Bombyx mori: one gene and its partner. The protein of the gene in region 1 purifies or fractionates together with the protein of each later gene. This does not show direct contact. Links are inferred from orthologs where the notes say so. Each region holds a gene or a part of one and is shown on either strand. Other genes may lie near its edges. The genes, in order: serine/threonine-protein kinase Warts and LIM domain-containing protein jub.

What was found.
Region 2: the proteins of serine/threonine-protein kinase Warts (region 1) and LIM domain-containing protein jub purify together in Drosophila melanogaster (affinity purification with western blotting; 4 studies listed by BioGRID). This does not show direct contact. The link is inferred for Bombyx mori from reciprocal best matches to the Drosophila melanogaster genes wts and jub.

What each region holds. Positions count from the first base shown.
Region 1 is NC_085112.1:13,709,316-13,717,576, forward strand, and holds the start of serine/threonine-protein kinase Warts, read left to right. Parts: upstream 1-3,225; 5' UTR 3,226-3,516; exon of another isoform or gene 3,517-3,549; intron 3,550-3,859; exon of another isoform or gene 3,860-3,886; 5' UTR 3,887-4,136; coding exon 4,137-4,388; intron 4,389-6,367; coding exon 6,368-8,261. Other genes in the region: thioredoxin domain-containing protein 5 homolog, read right to left, coding at 101-219, 335-471, 1,014-1,153. UniProt on the Drosophila melanogaster protein: Negative regulator of Yorkie (Yki) in the Hippo/SWH (Sav/Wts/Hpo) signaling pathway that plays a pivotal role in organ size control and tumor suppression by restricting proliferation and promoting apoptosis.
Region 2 is NC_085110.1:13,214,882-13,222,637, forward strand, and holds part of LIM domain-containing protein jub, read right to left. Parts: coding exon 6,825-7,756; intron 6,468-6,824; coding exon 6,298-6,467; intron 6,211-6,297; coding exon 6,148-6,210; intron 2,665-6,147; coding exon 2,499-2,664; intron 1,723-2,498; coding exon 1,582-1,722; intron 380-1,581; coding exon 270-379; 3' UTR 1-269. UniProt on the Drosophila melanogaster protein: Regulates organ size by inhibiting apoptosis and promoting cell proliferation by influencing the expression of G1/S-specific cyclin-E (CycE) and apoptosis 1 inhibitor (th). Negatively regulates the Hippo signaling pathway.

The DNA of each region.
Region 1 (8,261 bases):
AGGCTAGAATTTAATCCCATTGACCTACTTTTGCAATGAATTATGAAGAATGATTTTTTTTAATTCTGAGCAACAGTGACAAAATGGTTCTACTACTCACCTCTGTTTTGACAGAGAAGGCTTCGCTCAGAAACAATGTCAATGATGGTAAGTCCCTTGTTCCTTTGTATTCAACTGGTGTAAATGTATTTTTGTGGAAATAAAATAATGTTGGATAACCTGTAATTTTTTTCAAATTTATTTACACCATCAACTAGTGTACCTATTTTAAAAAAAAATTCTATTATGTACATACTTAAAAACAAGGAAATTATGTGTATGCTTACTTAAGTACCTGTTATTTCATTTTCATGACAAAGCTTAGCATGCACTGTGCAGTCAACTTGGGCAATGGCAAATTTGGAGTCCTTGGTATTAACCAGCTCTGCCAATTCTGACCATATCGGATAAAATTCTGTGCAATGTCTACACCTTAAAACATATAATTTCTGTAAATGGTATAGTACCGTAATGGTAAAAAATATAGATATTATGGTAATTTCAAACAGTATTTTATTGAAACTCTCTTGGAACACATCTTTAGTTGTGGATGGTTAACAACTTTTTTAATTTTATATCGTGAATTACCCTCATTGAATCAGTCGTCAGCCTTTTTGTAAAAATGCTCATCTAACTTTGTAGTTTAGTCAATAAGTATGAAGGATCTTTTTCACCACTACCCACATCAGTTCGTTTTTATTGAGGGCATTCAAATCTTTTGTTTTGAACGGAAGCTTGGCTGTGATCTTCGTATTTTCAATTTCTATTAGAGGTTCACACACAATAGGCCTCATCGATGTCACTACGGTATACCATTTACATTTCGGTCAACTAAAGAAAATTAGATTAAGTTTATTTATAAAATCGTTTCGATTCAATATTTAGTATAATTTTTATCATAAATAAATGAATATGTAGATTGTTTTGAATTTAATCACTGAAAGGAATAATGTAAATTCAATTATTGTTCTCACCATGGCGCGTAAAACATAATAAAGTTTCCATCCATTTCTTCGATCTGGAATTTGAAATTACTGGGATTGTATTCGTAAACAGAACTCTGTTCAGGAGCTACAAGATACGGAAATACAAATAGATATGGTAATATCTTCATTGTGGTGAAGGAATATATTTCTAAACAATGCCTCTGTGAATTGAGGTAACTTTTTTAGGTTGTTTTCATTTATATCTTTTCTCCTTCTCATTAGTTAAGTAGCTAATAGGTTAAATCTAAAACAACAAATAATTTCGTATTTGTTGGATAAATTTTGCTTTGCTGCACAGCACTTCAAACTTTTTCGTTTGGTTTGTCTATTGGCAGCACAGGGAACGTAGCACATATAACATACACAGTAATATTCTATAACAAAGGTGAATCTATGTCTGTTGTGTGGAAAGTCAACTGATATAGATTGATAAAAAATTGAATCAAAAATTAAATTAGATATCTTTTTTATTGTCCTTATAGGCAGACGAGCATACGGTCTACCTGATAGTGAGTGATTACCGTCGCCCATGGACTTCAGCAATGCCAGGGGCAGAGCCAAGCTGCTGCCTACCGTTAAGTATTCTCGCCGTTAAGTACTCTGCACAAGCCTCGTTTGAAGAAGGATATGTGGATTAACTGAACTGAGATAAAACAATACCATACCAATGAAATAATTAGTAAAATGGTTGGAATTAAACAAAATCTTAAGGGAGCCGGCACGGTGCGGGATTGTTCTGGCGCAGCTGGAACACAGGCCGTACTTATTGTCCGTTTAATGTTGTACTCATAGATAATACACATAACTTTTGTACTCTCCTCCAACTAATATATTCATCTGTGCTCTCCTGATATTATGTGTATTATTTATACTTTCCTCTCATGCTCGCTGCACGAGTTAATATTTGCGACGATCTTCTTTGAACTGTTGACTTTGAACCGCAACAAGAAAGCCGCGGCATATATCGCCGTCAAACACCAATAAGGGCGAACCGTTGGCCATATTTGTTCACCACCTAACCGGGGACCTGCAACACTTTCGCGAGATACGACGCCAAGGATACCACCGTTGGTTGCTTTGTGGTGTTTGTATTTTGCCGCACGCCGCCTATTATAATAGGTAGTTCGGAGGTTAAGGATGACAAGATAAGATCAATGGACTTTGGAAGAATTCAAAAAGCAATATCCAACTATTTTGTTTCGTTTAACCACCCTTGTGTACTTTCAGAGATACTAAAATGTTAATAAACCACCGTCATAACATACTAAACCTGATGAAACAGTAAATAAAAAAATAAAAAAGTCACAACTTGACAACAGCAACAACCTAAAAAAATTCCTAGCACTGGCCTCAGGTAGAGATGTACTTGGTTGAATTTAACACAGGATCGGAATCACAGCCCTCCGTGAAGATCCGGCGAGATCTCAGTGGGTGGTGTCTATGAGCTATTTCATACGTCGAGCACAGCAGAGAGTAACGTGCACAGCGAACGACAGAAGAATCTTTGAAAGTGGACCTGAAAGATCGGAAAGAATATGTTAATGGCTACGGCGGCTTTAGGTTGCCCTGTTGCCTGGGTCGGATATGTAATGAGAAGCGGAAAGGTAATGGCACGCCGCTTTATCAAAATAGCGTTCCGACGCTTCCATAAGGTTTTTACTGATAGAAACTAATTAGTTCTTACGTACCACGGTGCTCCGAAGGCTATTTTGCAGAAATGGGATTGGATAACCTGGAGAGAGTTCATGTGTGAACGGGACGCGTGAGCGAACACTACACTTACCTATTTCCTTATTAACTCCAAGCCTATTTCACAATGGAACGTATGCATGTTTTGTAGAGTGTCACCTTGTTATGAAGAAAATGAATTAGGCAATAGCAGATAGAAATTTCTTAATTTAACAGTCTTAGAATTAGACCGTTATACTCTTTTTTTTTTCTTTAGAATTTTTGCAGTTAGGATTTTTGCTGTGAGTCCTGTGACTAGGTACTTACTCCATGCCTGTGACTTTCTTATTATTCGGATACAGTTTCATTTCGACAATTCTGTAGAAGTGTTTTTTTAAAGGTCTGATTATTACTTTTAATAGAGAAATTCCTACATTAGTAAGCAGATGAGTGCTTTAGCTGGGTTCTTTTTTACGAAAAAGAGTCGTCAAACAAAATGGAATTTAATCTTCTGTGTATCCGAACACACTAAAGAATGTGGTAATTCTTCAAAATGGTCGCTTTGTATGGTTTGCCAACTTGCATGTCTGTGTTTTAGAGTCCTTTGTTTTCATATTTCCTTAGAAACTCTCGCTTTAAAGCACAACTCTATCGACTCCAGATTGCCTCTTCCGTATAAAAATTAATGCGACTAATCAAAACTAAGTGTGCAAGAAAGATGTCATCGGCAATGTGAGAGCTGTCGATCGAACTGAATTTCATTTTATGGGATTATGACATTTGTGCATATAATACGGATTTACAGAAAGTGAAAAAGTGCCTGGTAATGAATTACAGTAATTAATTATTCTTCTTAGTGCCTTGAATGAACGAAACATTGCTTTCCGAGCTCCCTCTAATTTTGGAATTCCACAAGTCTATGTCATGATTGATTCGCATTAGACATTCCTTACATCCTCGTACTCTTGGATAGAATGCGATACTGTTAAAAATTGTGTACTCGAATTGTCTGATACTGTAAACAGGTTCTGTATAAAGTCGACAAATCATATCCCTATCCTGTTGCCAAGATGTCAAACTTTTCTCATCTAACTTATTTAACTCATTATTTTATTATCACATAAAATTTAAGGGATCTAAAGCAAGAGGAATTCTCAATTGATTAGGTACTAATATTTAAAAATATTTTTCAGTTAAAAGAAAGTACCTTTCACGCTGCTACACAAAAAGCAATGTTGATACAGACTGACTAGTGAGGAAATCGATATATAAACGAAATAAATTCGATAATAAAGACAGTGACAGTGCTGCGAGTCTTAATTAGAGTGTTGAATAAATGGTGCGGAGGATAATAAACAAGGATATGTACAGGGTGTGGGGTGTGCTCATGTGATGGGAGGCGTGGGGTGAGAGGTGAGGCGCACGGGCGCGGGCGCGGGCGCCATGAACCCGCCGGCGCCCGGCAAAACGGCTACGCGCTCCGGATACCACCAGAAGGCGCTTGCCGAAATCAGAAACTCATTGCTTCCCTTTGCGAACATTGGAAACTCTGAACCGCCAGGTTCATCAGCTGCTAGCACAGTTAGTTCAGGAGTGAGTTCGGGGTTTAGTTCTTCTTCGGGAAATGGACTCGATAAAGACTTGAATGTGCTACCTCAATCCTTGAACCAACTTATTGCCTTGGGTTATGATGAGGTGAGTTTAGTTATAATGAATTGCTAAAAGTGTTTCTAAATAACAGATATGATTAGTGTTTTTTTAGTGTCATTATTCCATTATCTTTAATTTTTATAAAAAAACTGGCTGGCATTGTTTTGCCATAAAAATATTTCTAGGAAAGATACCGACTGCAGTGCCGGGTTGCTTTATAAATCTAAACCATTCTCAAATCCACCTGAAGATACACAGAAAATTTCATTAATATCGGTCCAGCCGTTTAGGAGGAGTTCAGTGACAAACACACGCACAGAAGAAATATACATATAAAAATACATGGAATTTATAATACAATTAAAATATAATAAGAAAGACTATCAACTTTTAATGTAGAAGGCAGTGTATGGCCGATATTATCAGTATTTATTGGTGATTAATGTCCATTTTCATTAATACCAAGGCTAAGGACAATCTTTAACCAGGTTTGAGTAAAACTTAAGTTATTGTTATTTGCAATAACTGAGAAATTTTAATTAAACATAAACACTATAAGTACAAGCTAATTACTTGCATATTGCCTGGTTGCAGTGGAATGAGGAATAGGCAATCATGAAACCAGTGGTAGTTTGTTTTCATTTTCAACAATCATGTTAAACATAATTTAAATTGAATCAAATTTATAGTCATAACAGTTATAAAATGAATGCTTAAGGTTGTGTTCTTGGATATAATGTTGACCAGAATTAAATTGAGAAGTAATTTATTCACAATACAAAAACACAAGATTTTAATTTTTATTTTCATTATTGTATTGTGCATGTTGTAAATGCATATTGTCTTGAGAATAAATATGGTCATATACCAATATTCTGTCTATACCTAACACTTTAACCATGTATTCTGGTTTAAAGGGCAGGCTGTCAAATATTTTAATGCATTTTTGAATTCAGCTTCGTGTTCAGATTTTTTAAAACCCCTATTGTGATCTATAGGCTTAGTTATAAAGCCTAAAATAATAAAATCTAATATTAATGATAAAAAAAGATTTTTTTAAAATTATTCTACACATGCTTTTTTTTCTACCGTCTTGGATTATATGTATCTTCTAGCTATTAGTATCATCGGTGACTGATAGCAGGAAGTTTTCAAGATCTCCAATATCAATTTAATTTTTAGTTTTCACAATTGTTCTCATAAATTTCCCAGGCGAAAAATTACATTACTGTGTACTCAAATAAATCCTTTTTTCAACATATATAATAGTATTAGAATGAGGTAAAATAGGAATTATATTCACATAGTTTGTCTATGTAAAGTTTATAAGTCAGCAAGATAATAATTATATTACAATCTACAACAAAATTACAATAAAAACTCCAAGCAAGATCTACATAAGAAGTTCGGTATACTAGTTTTGCCATGCCATTATTATTATATTACCACACAGAGACTAGGTTTGTTGGTCGTCAACTATCCATTGATCGAATGTTGGTTGTTAATTTATAATGTTACTCTGCCCTTACTCTGCTCGGGCACTGGACCCAGACGAAGATCGGGCGTTGGGGGAGAGAGTGCAAGGAGAGTCTTTTGGTAGGTAGGGCCCTAAACGTTCTTGGACCTGCGGTTCTCTCCCAATGTCTACGGACCATCAACACCCACATACTCTACGCGCCCCCTAAGCCCCCTGCCCGAATTTTTTATTATTAGATGGATGGTTTGTACCTGCCGCTGCAGGGTGGGGCACACCACCCTACCGAATTTTACTGTCAAGCAGTAATATGCTCTAATTAGAAGGGCAGGACAGTTAATATACTATACAATTGAAAAATTAGACCTCTTGTCTCGAGATGGATGACGGCGCATATACGCTGTGATGTCTATTGGCTCTAGTAACCACTCACCGTCAGAAGAGATATTCACGGTGTACTTAGATTATAATCAATTTGGTAAAATTTCATTATCTTGTTTTGCTTCTGTTTTTGAATAATGAGTATATTATTTAGAAAAAATCATTTCAGGACCCAGCTGTGAGGGCACTCAAATATGCAGGAGGGCGTTTTGATGCAGCTCTCGATTATTTGTCGAAACAGCAAGAACCTCTCAACGGCGTCCTCAAAAGCAGTAACTTGAGTGCTCTTGGCACCAAACTTATCCGGAAACCTAGTCTAGAGAGAGAGATAAATCTACATCGTGGTAGTCCTGCACTTGATTCAGGTGCTGGTAGCTCCCGGTCTGATAGTCCGCGTCAATCGGAGCCACCGCCGCTACCACACGAGAAGCTATCGCGACAGTATTCGCCTTCAGGTTTCTCAGAACCACCGCCACCTCCGCCGCCGCGATGTCCGTCCACGCCGCCGGTGCTGCCTTCCGTGCAGCAACTGCTCAAGCGCATGTCGCCGGCGCCACCTCTACCACCGGCGCGGGGCACCAGTCCCGTGGCGGCCGCGGCACCCACGCCGCCTGCCAGACAACCCATGATTGTACAAAATGGACCTCAAGTGCAACAGCAGCTTACGCAGCAGATACAAGCTCTCAGTATCTATCAAACGGGTGGCGGCGGCGAACTTCCACCGCCGTATCCGATGTCGGGTGCGCCGCCACCTCCTCCCTACTCGGTCTCTATCCAAAATCGTCAAAGCCCAACCCAGTCGCAGGATTACAGGAAGAGTCCATCTTCGGGGATCTATTCAGGAGGCACCTCCGCCGGCTCGCCGAGTCCAATTACGGTAACGCAATCGACTGGTTCAGCCGCGGGAATGACTCGCCCCACGCCGCTCCAGGCGTGGACCGCGAGACAAGCGGTGCAGCCTCCTATCATCATGCAGTCTGTGAAAAGCACACAAGTTCAGAAACCGGTACTACAAACGGCGATAGCACCGGTTGCCCCACCGCCAGCCACCAGTGCCGGAGCACCCCCACCCCCTCCTTCGTACGCGAGCTCCATCCAACAGAAGCAGGCACAGACTCCGCCCAGCTACCCGTCGGCACCGAAGCCGTCGTCTCCTGGCTCCACACCTACTGCGATTCCTCCCGCCGTCCCGACCACGGAGCCACCAAGTTATGCGATCACGATGCAAGTGCTCGCCGTTCAACGCGGCATGCACCCCGTCCCGCCGCCTCCGTACGGTAACCAAGCCGACAACACGACTACTGTTAATTCCCACCATTCTCCTTTACATAAGAAAATTTCGAATAACTGTGACGGTAAACCTGAATCGTCACAAGGGCCGCACGAAATTAAGTGTCCCAACCAGAACTGTACGAATAATCTCTTAAAAGACAACGTCACGGCCTCCGGCTCCGACAAAGGCTCTAACGGATCATCGGACAGACGACCAAAAATGTTAGATAAGATAAGGCATCAATCGCCAATACCGGAACGCAGAAATTACAGTAAAGAAAAAGAAGACGAGAGAAGAGATTGTAAAGTCCGAAATTATTCACCGCAAGCTTTCAAATTTTTTATGGAACAGCATGTGGAAAACGTTTTGAAATCTTATAAACAGAGACTGTTCAGAAGGATGCAACTCGAAAAGGAGATGAGTAAAATAGGTCTAAGTGCAGAAGCTCAGTGTCAGATGAGAAAGATGCTGTCCCAGAAGGAATCCAATTATATTCGATTGAAAAGGGCCAAGATGGACAAGTCTATGTTTACTAAGATTAAGCCTATAGGTGTGGGAGCATTTGGGGAGGTGACGTTGGTGAAAAAGATCGATACTAGTCATCTGTATGCCATGAAGACACTTCGGAAAGCTGACGTGCTAAAGAGAAATCAAGTGGCACACGTAAAAGCCGAAAGAGACATATTGGCGGAGGCAGACAACGAATGGGTCGTCAAGCTTTATTACAGTTTCCAAGATAAAGATAATCTGTATTTTGTAATGGACTATATACCGGGCGGGGACCTTATGT
Region 2 (7,756 bases), on another chromosome or scaffold:
TTTTTACCAAAGCTAATTAATATACTTTTTGTATATCTGCCTTCTGTTAACTAGCGTCTTCCATTAATTATCCAAGCCTTATTACATTTGAGCTACAATAAATTAAAGCCAAAATATTAAACGAGCCCAACACACTAGTGTTTTCATTAACAAACAAATATAAAAAGAATATTATGACACTAGAGTAAATAATTTAGTTATAACTCCATTCACATCTACTGAAACTATGTTTCGTTAAGTTAACTTAGTTTCACAAATTATAAGATCATTTAACCCATGTATTGGTATGAGGCTGGTGATAGATGAGGCGCGGGAGGAAGGCCCGGTCCAGTGGCTGCTCCGATTGTGGCGAGGTGACACGCACGACACATTAATTTACCTGCAATTTTACAACATTTTACAACAATTCATTGATTTTACAACAGTTGAAAAGTCCATTTTGTAACTATGTATAATAATGATGGTACATTATTGTATGTTTTTAACAAATGCAGATTTAATATTATGTATTATTATTTTTTATGACCAAATAGGTAATTTATAACAACTGTAATGTGGTGATTTCCCGGCCTGTCCACCATCAACTGCTCTAGGTTTTTGTGACACTGCACCTGTCTCTTTTTCGATATTTATTATCAAAAAGTATCAAGATTTTTTAATACATGGCCGTGATGTGCGCCAACTCGGATCGATACAACCATCCAGCCTATTTCTTTCAGTATTTATGGCAGTGGAATGTCGAGTTAGCTTATTTTTAAATGCAATAGAAACTTTGCTTTAATATCTGAAAGTAGACAGCGACGGCTATGATATCTGGGTTCTCTGGTAACCAAGATGATGATTATTTAGATGGGCCACAACTTCATTTCACCATATCTACTGATTCTAAGGGCGGATTCGACCAAACTTAAATTTAAACTCGAGTAACTATACGAGGAATAACCTATTCCATGATTTTAATCTCGAGTAAATTCATAGTCGTTTTTCCACGTATACTTGCGCTAGGAATAACAATACGCGAATAGCAGAGTGAATGGTGAACAAAAATAAAATCCGGCAAATAAATGTTGTTGTTCAACGGCATAGTGTAAGAGCATACAAATCGTCAACTCGATTTTGCCGTATTTTAGTGTGAAAAAGTAGCTGTTGTGTAAGATATCCAGCTGTCAAACGTATTATTTTTATTTCTTGTTTGTTTGAGGGAATTGTCAAGTTTTGTCGTGTGGTTTTATCTTTTTTCGTTTAAACGTTGCATTATACAATGCCAGACTATTAATAATAATTTAGTGCATTGCGTTGACTTGAAATTAAAACAGAATAAATATTTATGAAATGACAGAAATCAGATGTTGGACTGACAGACGCCATTACTTTATTCTAGGAATAGCTCCGTTATTCCGTGCGAAACGGCGGTATAGTAACAATTCCCGAATAGGCCCACTATTCTTAGAATTGTAGTTGGTAAAACGTAAAATTGATTTACTCTCGATTAACTGACGAGTTATTCTAAGAATAAGATTTACTCTTGTTTGGTCGAATCGACCCTAAGTAAACTAAGAACGTTAATTTATTTTTACACACCTGCTAGAGGATAGCAGCGTTTGTCGGGTTCATCGGTGAGTTGCATGCCGCATACACAACACATATAGCAATCAACGTGGAAATCTCTATCCATAGAGACAACTCTTACTGTCTCGTCTGTACCTTCAACTGGTGTTATGCCTGTAAATTAATATAAACTGTAAGCATTCAGGATTCAATGGGATAGTGCCATTTCCGCCGCTATTTTATACCTCACGATTTGAAGCGTGGGACAACCTGTATACAATAGACACTTCGACTTCATGTCTAAAGCTGGGTGTCGTTATTCAAGATTTGATATCTATGAACTTCGGTAACCAGTGAGCTTCTTCGCCCATCTAGGCAATAAATAAATAAAAGATTTTTGTAAACCAGTAAGACGTATACATTTTCTTTATAAAAATAGGTAGGATAGGCCCTAAGTTGATCCGCTTACTAAAGCAATAAAAAAAATTATATTATTATAATATTTCGTGATAGTCACAATCAAAACATCGCTGGGATTAAACATTACATACTTCATTACTTCAAATTAATATGTATTATGTATTCACGACGACGTATTTAACATTCGCATTTCTAATTTTGTTGCATTCACAGCTATTTTATCAGTTCTTATCGGAAATATTGACTTTTCCTAAACTAAATTCCATCAAGTCATGTACTCATGTGTAATATGGACAAAGTATATTCGATAAAGAAATGATAAGAATTTATACTCTTTCATAAATTATTATTCAACAATATTGTTAGTAAATTATCTCTGACAATAATGCGAAGACTTTATAGAACATTCAGGAATATTCGAATATACCGGCATTTGTTTATTCGTCTTTCAAAACTGTTTAAATTAAATATTTAATGGAAAACAATATTATTACTTAATGGTAACTATATTACTGAAAAGGTAAATTTACCTTTTCCGCAACTTGCACATTTTGGGGCAAACATCCGATGGTAGTCATTGACGCAATAGATCTTATTGTCTACATCCACAGTAAATGGAACACCATCCAGGCACTCATTGCATATGCAGCAGCGGAAGCAGCCGGGATGGTATGATTTACCCATAGCTTGGAGTATCTGGAATTATTATCTTCTATAATAATAATAATAACAAAAGTACAACATGTTGAGCACATTAGCGGAATTAAAATTAAAAAACCGGTTATACCCCGTATGCTTTGTAGGATGATTGACTTTAAAAACGAATAATTATTAGGTAAGTATAAAGCTAAATACTGAAAAAGGCAGTTTCCAGGACTCTAACAATCATTCAGGGCGAAAAAAATACGACGAAGTCTTAATAATTTCCAGAGAACCTAATCCACCAGCTGTCTCCAGTGTGTAATCGCTCACGCCTGTACTTATTAGGAATTAAAATACTTATTCATGACGTAATATGGCTTTTAGAGTTTTAGTCAAATAAAGTTACGTAACCTTAAGTTTCTAGTATCTCCTCTTTAAAAACCTGGATCAAAATACTTTTCAGTTATTTCCACGTGCAATAAAAATAAATTCTTGTTAAGAACCTGAACAAGGTCCACATTTCCTCGTATACGAATCTATTTACGATATTCATATTACTTAATTGCACTTAGAAAAAAGTTATTGAAAGGTGCAATGTTGTCAAACGATTTAAAAAAATAGTGTTCCACATATGGAATTAGCTAGTAAAAGTAGCTAGTGTTTTGGTATGCATACGGAAATAACTGGCATATAAACCTGATCGGAAACCCGCTATTTCCTTAGTTCTATTAAAAACTCGAGTCGAAATTGAGTTAATAATGCTAGGTAAGTACTTTAATGTTTTTTTTTTGTGCCTACCTATTAGCTGGTAGCCTAAGGGGCTATTCCAGTTACGCCCGAACGGGTAGGTGAGCTCACGGGCTCAACCTGAGAGAATTTGCTAACACTAGCCTTAGCAAGAGCAGTGCTTCGCAGAATCTACCACCGGATCAGAGCCGCGACCTACTGAGATCTGGCGAGAAACTCAGTGGGCTAGGAAACTCAAACAAACAAGAACATGTAACTAGACTGGCCATAAACACATTAAAACTTTCATTTTTTTCAACTTTTTAATTATTTTGAAATTGGAACACATTATATTATTTTAAAAACTTTTTAAGATTTTGCGGCATTTCACATATTTTTTCGTGTTCATTATCAAATTACAATATGGAGTGGGGTGTTAAAGAAAAGATTGCAGTGATTGACAAAGTGGGTATGGAGGCGTCAGTCATATTCCAGACACTTCGAAAGCTTGCTATCAGTCCTATGTTCGTATATCGTACTATCAACAGATACAACAAAGCTTCGTCTGTCGAAGACCAGAAAAGATTGGGGCGGCCGCGTGCTGTTAGAACTACAAAAGCTGTTAATGCTGTGAAAGCCACAATTCGTCGAAACCTCATTAGGAAGCAAAAAATCTTATCGCGAGAAATTAAGAATCCCGCTAGGACTCTGTCGCGTATTATAAAACAAGACCAGAAGTTCGGTGCTTATCGTCGATATATAGGACATGCCCTAAATCAATATTTACAATTAAAGAAAGTGGATCGATCAAAACGCCTTCTGTCGCAATACGCAGGTGAAAGGCACAGAAATATCCTCTTTACCGATGAAAAAATTTTAAGGATTGAAGAACACTACAATAAGCAAAATGATAATGTGTACGCTCACAGTTCTAAAGAAGCTGCTCAAGTGGTCGGAAAGGTACAACGAGGTCATCATCCTGCGTCAGTGATGGTTTGGTGGGGCGTGTCTTATCAAGGAGTCACAAAACTACATTTTTTGTAAAAAAGGAGTGAACGTGTATCAAGATACAGTCTTGGATCATGTTATTAAACCTCTCAGCAATACACTTTTTAAAAATATCTCATGGACTTTCCAGCAGGACTCTGCACCTGGTCACAGGGCAGGAACTACCCAAGCCTGGCTTGAAACCAACGTTCCGGACTTTATAAGAACTGAAGACTGGCCCTCATCCAGCCTAGACCTCAACCTTTTAAACTTCAAATTATGGTCAGTTTTAGAGGCAATGGCCTGCTCTAATCGACACGGCGACATGAGTATCTTAAAAAATCTTTGGAGCAAGCAGTGGCAAAATTTCCTTTGGAAACAGTGTGTAATTACATAGATTCGTGGTCAAGCAGATTAAAGGCCTGTATAAAAGCCAGAAGTGGCCATTTCGAATAGAATCTTTTTTATTTTTTGTTGACAATTTAAAGCAATAAAAAAGAGAAAAAAAAAAACGTAAGTATAAATTTTCATATAACATTACTTCATTAAAAAAAAAACTATTTTCATTTCATACTGATTGTCAGATTTACAAGGAATGAAATGTGGATCAGGTCAAGTCAGGGTCACCCACCACTTGGCTTGGTGCGGCGATAACCATTTTAACTAACATTTTTTGATATAATATTGTTATTAGATATTATTCATTACATAATTAAATGAATGATCGTAATTTGCGTATCCTAAAAGAAAATTAGACATCTCGGCTCACCGATATTTACCAGATGATTGTTGTGATTGGTGATTACCAGAACCCACAGACATCACAACTTGAATGCCACCCCACCCTCCTTGAGACATGATGTCTAAACCTCAAATGTTTTTATAATGGCTGTTGCACCTCTCAAACCTGAACGCATGATTGCTTCATGGCAGAATTAGCTAGGATGATTACTACCATCACATTAAGACTACACACTTAGCTACTGCTAAGTCTTAAAGTATGCCTTACCATAATCATACCTTTTGCCCAGTTTTGGTCTCATATTGATATCTTGTACCCATAAGAAAATCCTAGCATGGAGAAAATATTCAGTATAAAATGATTAGCATTTAACATTAATAAGTACTTGGATGACCATGCCACCACCAGCCGATGACATCAAAGTGAGAATAGTATTGTACTTAAATCATTATTTATACTGCCTACCAATATGTTCATAATTTAAATGTTTATAAAGTACTAGCGACCCGCTCCGGCTCCGCTCGGGTCTTTAACATAAAATTCAAAGATATTTGAAGTAGTTTTTTTTTTTTAAATAAAAGAACTCTTATTGAGTCATAACTATAATAGTTAAACATACGCTGTCGGGACACTTTTTGTAAATAATAATGTGTTCTACAAAGTCGTAGTGCATTATTTTATTCTATCATCAATAGTTTTCGCAGGGCACGCGTTGAAAAGAATATTTTAGGTAATTTTTTTACACCTTGCGTTATATTATTGGAGTTTTAGTAAGGATACCTAAATTTTTTCAAGAAATATTATAGCCTCTGTCACTCGGGAATAGTTTAGCTTCCAAACAGTGAAAGAATTTTTCAAATCTGTTCAGTAGTTTCAGAGCCTATTCAATACAAACAAACAAACAAATCTTTCCTCTTTATAATATCAGTATAGATAAACAAAAAATATATTTTATTAATTTTAGACTTTTTTTATTTCAAGATATTGGGCATTGCCTAAGCAAGAAACTAAAACATTCAAAATCAAATTCAAATTACAAATTAATTAATTTAAATAAAAGACGACATTTTTAAAAAACTCACCATTTCCATAATTAAATGACCACATATAGCACACTTTTCAGCTGTTTGCTGGAATCCAGAATACTGAAATACAAGAATACAAATTCGTATTTAAAAAGTATTGATGTTTAGGTTTATGAAGATTGATATGGGTTGATAATCTTTTTTTACCAAATAATCCTCTTCACAGTACACTTTGCCATGTACATTATAAAAAGCTTTCCCTCTAAGTGCTCTACCACATGAACAGCAGATAAAACAATTAGTGTGGTACAGATTGCCCATAGCTTGACAAGCTTGCCCAGCACCAGTTACACCAGCCCCGCATGTGTGGCATATACCTGTGGAAGTTAAAAGTAAGTGGTGTTTAAACGAGTACATTTGGTTTATTACAATAGTAATTATGTAACATGTTGCTCTCACTCTCATTTATCAAATGCCAATTTAAGTTGAGCAATGTTCATATTTCTTTATTGTTTACTGCATAGGTTGCACCTGCACCTCTCACCTGGGTTAAATGGTTACTAGAGCCAATAGTCATCACAATGTGATTTCTCTTGCTGCCAATGACCACCTAGAAATACGAGGTCCAAGTCTCAATAGTATAGTATAGCAGCTGTCCCAGTATTCAAATGCAGCAGAGATTGATTGGATGGTAGTTCCACCATTAAGTGTGCAGTATTCTACAGTATACATACCAAAGTACTCTCCCTCCTCATCCTGTTTCTCCATTTCTTCTTCGAGTTGCCTAGTTAACTCTTCTATTTTTCTCTGGGCCTCAGTTGGACCTGTAGGTCTGGGCGGGGTTATACTATATGGCAGTAAACTCTTGCCTCTACCACCAGATCCTCGGGAACCTCCAGATACTTGAGAAACTGAGCTTGGTGTAGGACTTGGTGCAGGAGATTGTGAGGGTGAACATAAAGAAGTTAAACCGGAAACCAAATTTCGAGAAGTGATAGATTCAGAGTGTCTAGAACTAGCAGATTCAGAGGTTCTAGAACCAATAGATTCAGCAGTTAGAGATGTATTATCTTTATTGGATATAGGTATGGGTGTGGCAGAAGGTCCTCCTGTCATACACACATAATCAGACCCATTATTATCTTCCACTATTTGCATTCTGTTTACAAGTGGTTTGGAATTATACGCTCCATTTGTCACCAAAGGTTTGTCTTTCGGCATATTATTTACAGTAACAGGCTTGGGGTGAAAAAATTTGGGACTAGACACACATGTCTGTACTTCTGTAGCTATATTGGCCTTAGGTCTCTGTGCACTTGGTGCTATTGAAGCATAAATCGCTGTAGATGGAATTGTCACTACTTTGTCATCAAAACTAACTGTGTTTTCACTTTTCAATAAAGCACTAACATCAGTATATTTAGGTGGAGCTGATCTCATGATTGTATAATCACCACTAATATTTTCTTGGTGTTTACTGTAGGCCAAGGCAGGGTGCTTGTCTACTTTACCCCTCTCTCCTATTAAATTAACATTGCTCCTGCTAAGTCCAGTGTTAGGGACTTGTGGACCGGGTACTGAACCCTGTTGTATGAATCTGTCATTATTTTGTTGTATTTTATATTCACCTTTCTTATCACTGTCTGCGCTAAGCATATTTTCATAT